Linked DNA regions of Saccharomyces cerevisiae S288C. The gene in region 1 interacts genetically with each later gene. Each region holds a gene or a part of one and is shown on either strand. Other genes may lie near its edges.

Region 1 (3,761 bases):
ACAACATTTTCTTCATGTAAACAATATTGGCCGCGCTGATGACGAACGACATTCAAATGTCTAAAACGGCTAAACTTAGTGAATACATTTACAAATTCATTTCTGTTTCGGAGGGGTGACAGAATGACTATAAATTCCATGCTTAAGACTTATCGCCGATATAAGTAAATATTGAAATGAAAATTAATCACCATCGACCGACTAGAGTTCGCATAAGTATATTATCGTGTACGGTGTAAGAATATAAATAAATGACGAACGGTCGTCAAACTTAATGGGAGCTGAAACACAAGGATCCGAATTATGATAGGGTAGTGAATGGCGACACATAAGCGAATAAAGAGAGATCATAATGCTACTGTGTAGAAATATTGATCACTTCTCGTGGGTTCGTAAATCCTCGGGGAAAAACTACAGTATACTTTGTATTCGCAAAAATATTACCGTTCCAAATAATAGTATGCCAACGATTATCAGCAAGTTCATCTCATTCACAGTACCCAGAAATACGAAATGAACAACTTTACACAACGATGATTCCTTTTCTCATAATACTTTCATTCGATTCATCCTTATATATTACTCACACACATCAGTTGCTCCAAAATCTAATAACACTGTGATCCCTGTTCTACTACTCTACTTTAATTAATTCCATCTTTTAACAACCTATACTATGGAATATAATTGATAACGATTTTAATTTTTTGAACGAGTAGCCGATAGACCAATATTACCTGCTGTTAGAATCAAATATGAATATAGACAATGTAATTATGTAACCAGAAGGAATCACAAGAAAACAGAATACACAAATAATCAAGTTAGTATGGCAACTTGGCCGAGTGGTTAAGGCGAAAGATTAGAAATCTTTTGGGCTTTGCCCGCGCAGGTTCGAGTCCTGCAGTTGTCGTTATTTTTTGCCTCTTGATGGATTTTTAAGTTTTGCGCTCATGCTTGTTATGATAATAGGAGAGCGAAATGCGGTAATTTTGTTTACGTCCATAATCATTTTTTCGTTTTGAGATTATTTCGGATCGGCAAATGCATTTTTTTAGCTCTGGAAATGTTGTTTTCACTTTTTCGCTTGCTTATGTGCATCCTAGGACTTTAGTTCACACCATCGATTATTTCTGTTAGGTTACACAGCATCTTTTACGTAAATGGCATGTGGCGATTCGCCAACTGGTTTCTCCTCATCGTTCCTAGCGCGGGGCTGACGGCCTTCCTCTGTGTTTTCAGGTAGTATCATCGCTATCGCACTCCACCAGCTACGAAGCCGGTGCAGGCAGAAACATTACTTGCATAGTAATACACGAAATTTATTTACTTTAAACCTTTATATCGAATTTATATCCCTAAACATTGAATTCTTCTCTTTTTTTTTCTTTTTTTAATTAGTTTTTTTCCTATTGTAGTTTTTTCCATCGCAAGCTAGATAAATATCTTCAACTTATTCACTTTGGCAGGACCAGATTTAACTGACTTGTGTAGCTAAGGAACGTGAAGGCTGAACAACAGCGGGAACTAAGTGCAGAATATATCGGCAGAAGTTTTGCAGAAATAACCCCTCATTAACACTCACTCTCATCCTTCAACTGCTCGAAAGACGGTTAACAAAAACCATCAAAAAGCACTCTGTTACTTAAATATAATGCAAAAATCCGTTAGAGTGGGCGACTATTTTGACAATGATGACAATGGTTTGTGGTCGTGGTACTTAACAAACCTCAGATTAGGCGATTTTGAAGAACTTATAGGCAATCAATTAAAATACACTCTGTTAAAAAGATTTCTGAATAGTCATTTTTATGGTGATAACAATATTTCGGCCAGGCCAAACAAGAAGATTTTGTTAGTTTCCATCCCAGAGAATGTTCATGAAGATATCTCCATATTGGAAATCTTCCTCAAAGATTACTTTCATCTGGAAAAATTAGAACACATTCAAATCTCAAAATTAACTCACTCCCACTGCTACAATCATGAAAATCATTACCTATTGACGGACAACCTCAACAATTTCCAAGACCCTACCTTTTTAGAATTTGCGAGTACAAGTTGGCAAGTTCAAAAAAATTCCAAGGCTTTAAACAATAACAATAGAAATTCAATACCACCACCCACAATATCTTCATCAAAAGCTTCAAACGGGAAGCTAGAATCAAACGTTTCGGATGATCAGTGGTCAAATATAAATACCCAGACTTCAACAGCTACCCGAACTAATACGAATACGAGGACTTTGACATCTCCGGACACAGTTGATATAAACGTTACATCCGTGAATAGTCAAAGCAATAATAATGATACGCCTCAAGATAATGAAAACGAAGTTGATGAAGAGGATGCCACAAGTTCTATAGTCCTAAATTTTTCTCATTCGCGAACAGTAGATTCAAAGCCTAATAGACTACCCAAAATTTTTCCATCATACACTAATGAAGACTATACACCGTCACATTCCGAGATAATGTCAATAGATAGTTTTGCTGGCGAAGACGTATCATCCACATATCCCGGACAAGACCTGAGTTTAACTACTGCCAGGCGCGAGGATGAAAGTGGTCAGGATGAAGTTGAGGATCATTATAGCAGAGTCTCACATGATCTAGGTGACGAGAGTATCGATCAAGCAAGTTATAGCATGGAAAGTTCGGTCAGCTACACTAGCTATAGTAGTAGCAGTAATAGTAGTAGTGCCCACTACAGTTTAAGCAGTAGCAGCCGAGGTAATCCAAAACGTGAAAACATCGATCACACGAATGCCACCTATGTCTCTGAATTGTCAAGTATAACGAGTTCTATAGACAATTTAACTACTTCGACAACCCCAGAGGAGGAGGATAATTTAATTCATCATAACTATGACGCCCAAGGGTATGGATCAGGAGAGGACGATGGAGAAGAGGTTTATGATGATGAAGATCTTTCTTCTTCCGATTACTCAGTACTATCCATTCTACCGTCAATCTCAATTTGTGATTCTCTAGGGTATTTTAGGCTAGTTTTGCAATCTATATTAATTCAGGATCCAGACACCAAAGAAATTTTTACTGCGATTAGACAGTCAAACAATAAACCTACAATGGCAAGCGTTACCGATGATTGGTTGCTGTATGATTCCAATTTTTCAATGAATAATTTACAAATTCTAACACTTCAAGATTTGCTAGATATCAAGAGATCATTTCCAAAAATTTTATTTTACACAATGGTTATTGTGACAAACTCCGGCAAACAGGTTGAAGAAGAATTCAAAAATCCCAATTATGATAATAGGGAAGGAATATCAAAAGAGCAACCTCTAGATTCTGAGTTATCATTAACTAACGACCCGCAACAATATTTCCCGACTGCATATAATAACGGTTACAACGACTATATTGACGATGAAGACGATGAAGACGATGGTGACGATGCTTCTTTATCAGAACAGTCAGGCCCACAAATGTACATACCAACTAGAATGGAATCTAACGTTACTACAGCACATCGTTCTATTAGAACCGTAAACAGTATCGGGGAATGGGCATTCAATAGACATAATTCTGTTACAAAAATCGATAAAAGTAATAGTAACGAGTTGGATAACTCTAAAACAGGTGAAAGTACAGTTTTATCAAGTGAACCTCATCCAATGACACAACTGTCGAACTCTAATACGACTTCCTCGAATTTTAGCCATTCTTTGAAGACAAAAAATTCTCACAAACCTAATTCCAAGGGTAACAATGAAAGTAATTCCAAAAATGAGTTGA
Region 2 (3,761 bases), on another chromosome or scaffold:
TGTGGCCGTTCGGATTCATTGGTGACGACAGCGGCGGTAACGTCAATCTTGGTGACGCAGTAGCGCTGTTAGCCAGTGTCGCTAAACTTAAAGCTAACATATTGTCATCGTTATCGCCGCCTAGACCTGAAGTCCCATTTAAAGTGGACGAATGCATCATTGAAGAAGGCACAGTGGAAACGTTATTATTACTACTACTATTATTAGCGCTATTATTGGTACTGCTAATGTTATTATTGATAGATGCGGCTGCAGAGGTGTTAATGCCATTGGCGTTAACATTATTGTGGTTTTGGCTGCCATTTGTAGTTGTCGATGGGTTGGTTGATGTAGCCGTTATATTAGATAGTAAGGAGTTTGTATTAGTTAGAGAAGGGGTGCCAAAATTACTAGAATTAGACGGAATATTCATCTGCGGTAATTGCGGAGTTAAAACTTTCCTTTTGAACTTGGAACCCGGATCATCCAAAGTGGGTTCCACAATATTTGATAAGTCCATCATCCTTGATAACAACGGGGAAGAAATTCTGCTTATGGTAGTTTGATTCATGTTCAGGAACTGGTTTACACCATTAGGGGTAGTAGACCGAAGAGAACTACTTTGCGGTCTGTTCATATTAATATTGGAGAACAAGGGGTTCTTATTGTCTTCTAAATTTTGTAACTCTTGAGAGGAATGGTTTAGTAATTCATCAAAACTTCGAACTTTTTGAAATAAATCGTTATCATTATCAGTAATGGAGCCTCGTTGCTCCGACTCATTAGAATCATAAGATAAATTTGAAAACGGACCAGATTTTCGCTCTTCCTTCTTGTTTCCACAGCCGCATTTTAAAGGTTGCTTTCTAACGACAGCTTGCTGATCTAATATGAACTCAATAGATTCGCCAAAATTGTAACCATAATTGAATCCGGAGTACATGCAATAAGGGAAAGTAATGATGAATTCATGTTGGAACTGCACCACTCTATTAAATTTTATATTATTTTTTCGCAAGAAATCGGGAGAAGTTATGATGTTTTGATGTCTAATAAAAGCTGGACAATTTTCCTTATTACTTGATGGTTCCTTTGATAAAATTTTCAAAAATTGGTCTGTGTTTGCGGACGGTATGGAATACCATTGTTTGGGAGCACCGAAATGCAAGTAGTTTATAGAGCATTTATTCTGTTCGTCCAAATGCCATGGAAAAATGCATTTAGACTGACCAGTAAGTAACCGTCTGTTACTTGAGTTTATAGAATCTGGCAAATTATTCAAATTCCATAAAGTTAAATCATAGGGGAAAATTGAAGAGTTTTCGTCCACTGCATAAAAAGGTTTCGAAAAAGCGATGGTTTTCCAAAAATCACTTTCTAAAATTTGTAACTGTGCCAAATCATAACAATCCTGCTGACTATCTACGCGGCAATTTTCCTTTAAAGTTTTATCATTAAAATCACCTTGACTTATTCGAGAGTCTAGACTTTCGGCCAAGTTCTTCCACTGTGTTAAATTGTACGACTTATTGTCATACTCGTTTTCGATGCTAAATACACCGTTTTCATGTTTGTCCCATCGCTTGGCTTGTTGTTGAATCGGGGAGTCTAGTTGTATAGTCTTTAAACTTTCCGCAGGAGGTGAGCCTTCTAAAAGCTCCAGCCATTCTTTGGGAGGAATGACTTTGACAATACCATTTTCTATTCCGAATTTAGTAATTTCATCAATGAAATATTGGAAATTTGCAAACTCCATCATAGACGGCTTAAAAACCGGAACGCCATCAATAACCTCAACTGGCTTGATTTCCATTGTAGTCTGTTTTTGTAGCTATTCTTCAAATTAAAAAAAAAAAATTACAACGATGTTGTTCACTTTGTAGAAGCAAATACTTTTTAAACGCCCAACAAAGAAACAAATAGTGAAAAAAATTGAAAATTGGAAAAAATTGGGAAATGGAGGTTAATGATGAACAGAAAGGAAAAACGATGAAATATGTGGTGGGCAAAGAGTTTCTGTAAGCAAGAGACTTAGCGAAACAAAAAAAAAATACAACTGGCCAAACGTATTATTACTTGGCTATTTTCTTCCTAACAGACCAACTTCTTTTGCCTTCTGTATGGCGGGAGGAGGAGGGGGGAGGTTTTCTTCTTGTTTTTTCCGTTAACTTTTTCCCGATATGCGTAGAAGGATAATAATTTCAAATACACAACTCACACACGCGTTTGTACTTCTACCTCAACACAAACGATAAACGTTAAAAACTTCTCTTCAGTAAGTAGTGGTAATAATCCTAAACAGAGAGAAAATACTGTTTTCTTTTTCGGTTTGCTATTTTTACCTTTCCTTTCCTTTCTCTTTGGTGAAAAACCGGATCGGATGTAAACGTAAATGCCAATTCAAGGGACCTGTAAGACAAGAGAATGCGAAGCGGTAATAGTGGCAGTTGTAACCATTTTCTAGTCTTTCTCCGTAAAGTAGTTACTTGCCACAATGCCGCCATAGTGCGGAAAACAACGAAATATAATTCCTTGAAGCACAAAACGCCACCCCTTCCCCTTGCCCTTGCCCTTGCGGACGCCCTTTCCCCTCAAAATTTTTTTCATATTACGTCTCCGGCTTCGCTCTCTTACTCTTGGCGCCGGGCGGACCCCGGCAGGAAGGGGAGAACCCAGCCCCTTCCTACTCAAGGCTCTGCGCGGCGTTTTCTCCACACCCCACAGGGCGGGGTAGAGCCGTGCCGGGTGATACACATCATCACATCCTATATGAAATCTATATCATATCACATTGGTATACATAGTACAAAGGAAGAAAAAAATTGTAATCATTAACGGTCCCTGCTGCGCTGGCTGAGCAGCGTCTCTGCATGATTGATACCCGGCAGATCCAGCGAGGCACGTGCTCTTTCCACGGAGTATCTTGTGTCCAGTTGGTGGTTGGCAAGCATCTCTTCTCTTGTGCGATCCAGCGAAGTTCTGAGCTTATTTCCGCGGGCACTGGCCATTGATCTTCTAGGCAAGTTGTTCGTTGTTGTAACGGGGCTGAGCTGGTCACGGCGTTCCAGAGTGGTAGAGACACGGTACCCCTTGCGCGAGCCTTGCTCACCATTGAGTATACTCATTGGTATTTCCTCTGTGACTATGGTCTCTTGTGAGTGGCTGACACCATCAAAATGAGTGTCCAGTGAAATGGGCTCTTTGAAATCTGTAAGGGGACGTATTTCGTTTATTCTGGGCCTGCTAGGGTCCGTAGGGTCGTAGCCTTGTGGGTAGAGGTCAAAATCACCGCGTAACCACATTTCTCTAACGATCTCTATATCTTTCGGATAGAATATCTTTCTGATACAGTCAATGGTGAATCTTGGCAGTAGGCAGAACAGCACGCCAACGAAAAGTACTGCCCAATAGGCAGGTTGTGCGAATACACGCGCCGCACCCTTGTAAAATTCGTTACTTGACGACGAGCTTGTCCATATACCCGTCCAGCCGTAAAACACGGCCAGTGATAGACATATGAATAGGCCACAGAACCAGTCCCATCTATACTGTTCCATGAAGACGTAAAAGTTACATGAAGTGACTGCAATTGCTGTAACGAAGACACCGACAAAGTAACGGTGGTCTAGTCCAAGGCCATTTTCAGTTACAACCATGTTTTTATGGTACGCCAAATAGGGGAAAAAGAAGCATATCACAGATTGGTATACACCATCCAACATGTACCAAAGAAATTTGGTTTGGTTCCATTCTTTTCTTAGGATACCCACACGGTACAACTG
Region 3 (3,761 bases), on another chromosome or scaffold:
ATACAGACTTTCTTGTGAGGCTATTGGCCTCATAAAAATAGCTGGATTTCATCGGGAAGAAACTTATGAGTTTCTTCCATTTGGTGAGCAACAACTTATAAGAAAGGTTTACTATCTGCTTCTCATGACAGAGAGGTACTATGCCGTATACATTAAATGTGTAACAAGTTTGGATACCACTATATCTCCACCACAACCCGAAATCGTAACTGATTCCCGACTTTCTTTGGATAGTTTTCTTGAGGTGATTAAAGTATTCACTGTTCCTGGGAAATACTTTTACGATGCCTTAGCTACCAACAGTGTTAATGGTTCCTATACTGAAGACTCTCTAAAAAGGATATGGAATGAACTTCACATAAGCTCACTTGATATAGAGCCATACTCTTACGGATACATAGACTATCTCTTTTCTCGGCACTGGGTCAGGACTCTAGCATGGAAGTTGGTACTAAATAAGAAGGATATGCGGATGAATTTTTTTTCGAATACTAACGCCACACACATTCCAGTCGAAATAGCCAAGGATATGTTACAGGATACACTTTTAACTCCAATCGACCTATATGATGTGCATGGTCCTGTGATACCAATGAAGGCGCTAGAAATAGCCAATGCATTGGTAGACGTCGTAAGTAAGTATGATCACAATATGAAGTTGGAGGCTTGGAATATTTTGTGCGATGTATCTAAGTTCGTTTTCTCCCTGAAACATTGCAATCATAAAATGTTTCAAAGGTTTTCAACTAAATGTCAGAGTGCTCTAATCGATTTGCCTATCTCTAGACCACTGCGCCTAAATGATGATTCCAAGGATGAAGTCGACATTATTCCCTAAATGAACTTTATCTTCTTACAGTTTCAACATCTTGTGACCTGATGATTTTCCTCAAATGAACTTTTGCGTTTTCATTGAGAAAATTTCATTATACTTTATTTTTTTTATAAATGGGTACCAAGGCATTAAATATAGATCTGGTTTACTAATCTGAAGAAATTGTTTTCAACCACATAATTTGTGCAATTTGGCGCTATACAAAGCCCATGTTGGCTACATTAGTCTTTGAATCCTTTAGATTGCCTGAATCAATAGCTCATTCAAAATATTTTGGACAATCGATAGTTAACTGTAACATGTGCTGCTATATAGTGGCAATCTAGATGCATGTATCTTATATGATTAAGTATAAAAGAACCACAGCAAAGCTAAACGTAAATAAGTAGTTTAGAAAGTACTGGATATGAGTTAAGAATCTGTTAATTGAGCATGACATGAAAATTTTGTATTAAAGCAATATGAGTCGTCACATTAAATATATGAAACTACGGGAATTACCATCATATTGGTCATGATTAATAATAAACCAATCAGCATGTTTTTACCTCTATTATATTAGTCTTGGACCCGTATTCAACCTTCATTAATATTATCTTTTTACCTTTGTTCATAAACACAATACATTGTTTTTGCAAAATATAACAAAAAAGATTAAGGAAGAGGACCATGTACACTACGATCTTACTTTTGAAATAGAATTTGTTTATTTTTTCAAGATGTTAAACGAAGATGGTGAGTAATATTCACAAAACATTGTAAAAATATTACTTGCTTCATTCTGCGAATTGTTCAAACCCGTAAAGAAAATTTCTAGTATATGATATATGCATAATATCAATAGCTTTACAAAAATAGAATCCGAAAACTATCTAGAAGTTTACTCGTTTCTCAAGTTTTATTTAACAAAACATAGACGAGCTTTATTTCGTGTGAAGAAGTGAAGAAGCTTTAACAAAACTGTATTTCTAAAAGAACGTTACTATACAATAAATTATAAAACTGCATTAACCAATGAAAAAAAGCACTATTAATCGAAACTCGAATATGCAATATTGTTAATGTAAATTAAGCTATCGGTCCGTTTATTTTTCTATCGAAAAGCGGCTTAGTTAGAATGGTTGATAAACGGCTGCGCTTCGTAAAAAGAAATGACATCTTGGAACTACTTTAAATAGAAGTTTAAATCTCATGATCATGCTCATCTGTTTGTACAACACATAAGCTTCACCGTCAGACATATATGCAATGAAGAGTACTTTGAGTTTAACTTTATGTGTTATATCGCTTCTATTAACCCTTTTTCTGGCGGCCTTGGATATTGTTATAGTGGTTACTTTATATGATACAATTGGCATTAAGTTCCATGACTTCGGCAATATTGGTTGGTTAGTTACTGGATATGCTCTTTCTAATGCTGTTTTCATGTTATTATGGGGTCGCTTGGCCGAAATACTTGGTACAAAGGAGTGCTTAATGATTTCTGTTATTGTATTTGAAATAGGGTCTTTGATTTCTGCTCTTTCGAATTCAATGGCGACTCTGATTAGCGGAAGAGTCGTTGCTGGGTTTGGAGGAAGTGGAATTGAATCACTTGCTTTTGTAGTTGGAACATCCATTGTCCGAGAAAACCATAGAGGAATTATGATAACGGCACTCGCTATATCGTATGTCATTGCAGAGGGAGTCGGGCCTTTTATTGGTGGTGCATTTAATGAACATTTGTCTTGGAGATGGTGCTTTTATATAAATCTTCCAATCGGTGCGTTTGCGTTCATAATATTGGCATTTTGTAACACATCTGGAGAACCACATCAAAAAATGTGGCTACCATCAAAAATCAAAAAAATTATGAACTATGACTATGGCGAATTATTGAAAGCAAGTTTTTGGAAGAATACATTTGAAGTACTTGTATTTAAACTAGACATGGTTGGGATTATTTTATCTTCAGCAGGCTTTACACTACTGATGTTAGGTCTTTCATTTGGTGGAAACAACTTCCCATGGAATTCGGGTATCATTATTTGCTTTTTTACCGTGGGCCCTATCTTATTGTTACTATTTTGTGCTTACGACTTTCATTTTCTGTCATTATCGGGGCTTCACTATGACAACAAGCGGATCAAACCGTTACTGACATGGAATATTGCCTCAAATTGTGGCATATTTACAAGCTCCATAACAGGATTCCTTTCTTGCTTTGCTTATGAATTACAGTCTGCTTATTTAGTCCAGCTTTATCAACTAGTATTTAAAAAAAAGCCTACATTAGCGAGTATACATCTTTGGGAACTATCAATTCCAGCTATGATTGCAACTATGGCCATAGCATATCTAAATTCAAAATATGGCATCATCAAACCGGCAATTGTTTTTGGTGTGCTTTGTGGGATTGTTGGATCTGGTTTATTTACGCTAATCAATGGCGAACTCTCTCAGTCAATAGGTTATTCAATTCTCCCAGGAATAGCTTTTGGTAGTATTTTCCAAGCAACGTTATTAAGCTCCCAGGTGCAGATAACATCAGACGATCCAGACTTTCAAAACAAGTTTATTGAAGTCACAGCTTTCAACTCGTTCGCCAAATCCTTGGGCTTTGCGTTTGGAGGGAATATGGGGGCAATGATATTCACTGCATCACTCAAAAACCAGATGCGCTCTTCCCAATTAAACATACCACAATTTACGTCTGTAGAAACACTTTTAGCGTATAGCACAGAACATTATGATGGCCCCCAATCTTCACTATCAAAGTTCATAAACACAGCTATCCATGACGTTTTTTACTGCGCCTTAGGATGCTATGCTCTTTCATTCTTCTTTGGAATATTCACTTCGAGTAAGAAAACAACAATATCAGCCAAAAAGCAACAATGAACAATTTTCCAACGTATAAATTAACTTATCGTAGTTCGATAAAACT

What was found.
Region 2: of GIS4 (region 1) and GIS1, extra expression of one rescues a mutant of the other (dosage rescue), as found in Saccharomyces cerevisiae (one study listed by BioGRID).
Region 3: of GIS4 (region 1) and SGE1, extra expression of one rescues a mutant of the other (dosage rescue), as found in Saccharomyces cerevisiae (one study listed by BioGRID).

What each region holds. Positions count from the first base shown.
Region 1 is NC_001145.3:256,310-260,070, reverse strand, and holds the start of GIS4 (Gis4p), read left to right. Parts: upstream 1-1,654; coding exon 1,655-3,761.
Region 2 is NC_001136.10:635,170-638,930, reverse strand, and holds the start of GIS1 (histone demethylase GIS1), read right to left. Parts: upstream 1,793-3,761; coding exon 1-1,792. Other genes in the region: aminophospholipid-translocating P4-type ATPase DNF2, read right to left, coding at 2,811-3,761. UniProt on the Saccharomyces cerevisiae protein: Transcription factor involved in the regulation of gene expression upon nutrient starvation. Recognizes and binds to the post-diauxic-shift element 5'-T[AT]AGGGAT-3' in the promoter region.
Region 3 is NC_001148.4:931,951-935,711, forward strand, and holds SGE1 (Sge1p), read left to right. Parts: upstream 1-2,083; coding exon 2,084-3,715; downstream 3,716-3,761. Other genes in the region: YPR196W (putative maltose-responsive transcription factor), read left to right, coding at 1-838. UniProt on the Saccharomyces cerevisiae protein: Drug export permease. Multi-copy suppressor of loss-of-function mutation of GAL11. Involved specifically in transcription of GAL4-dependent genes. Can link GAL4 with the basal transcription machinery if GAL11 is missing.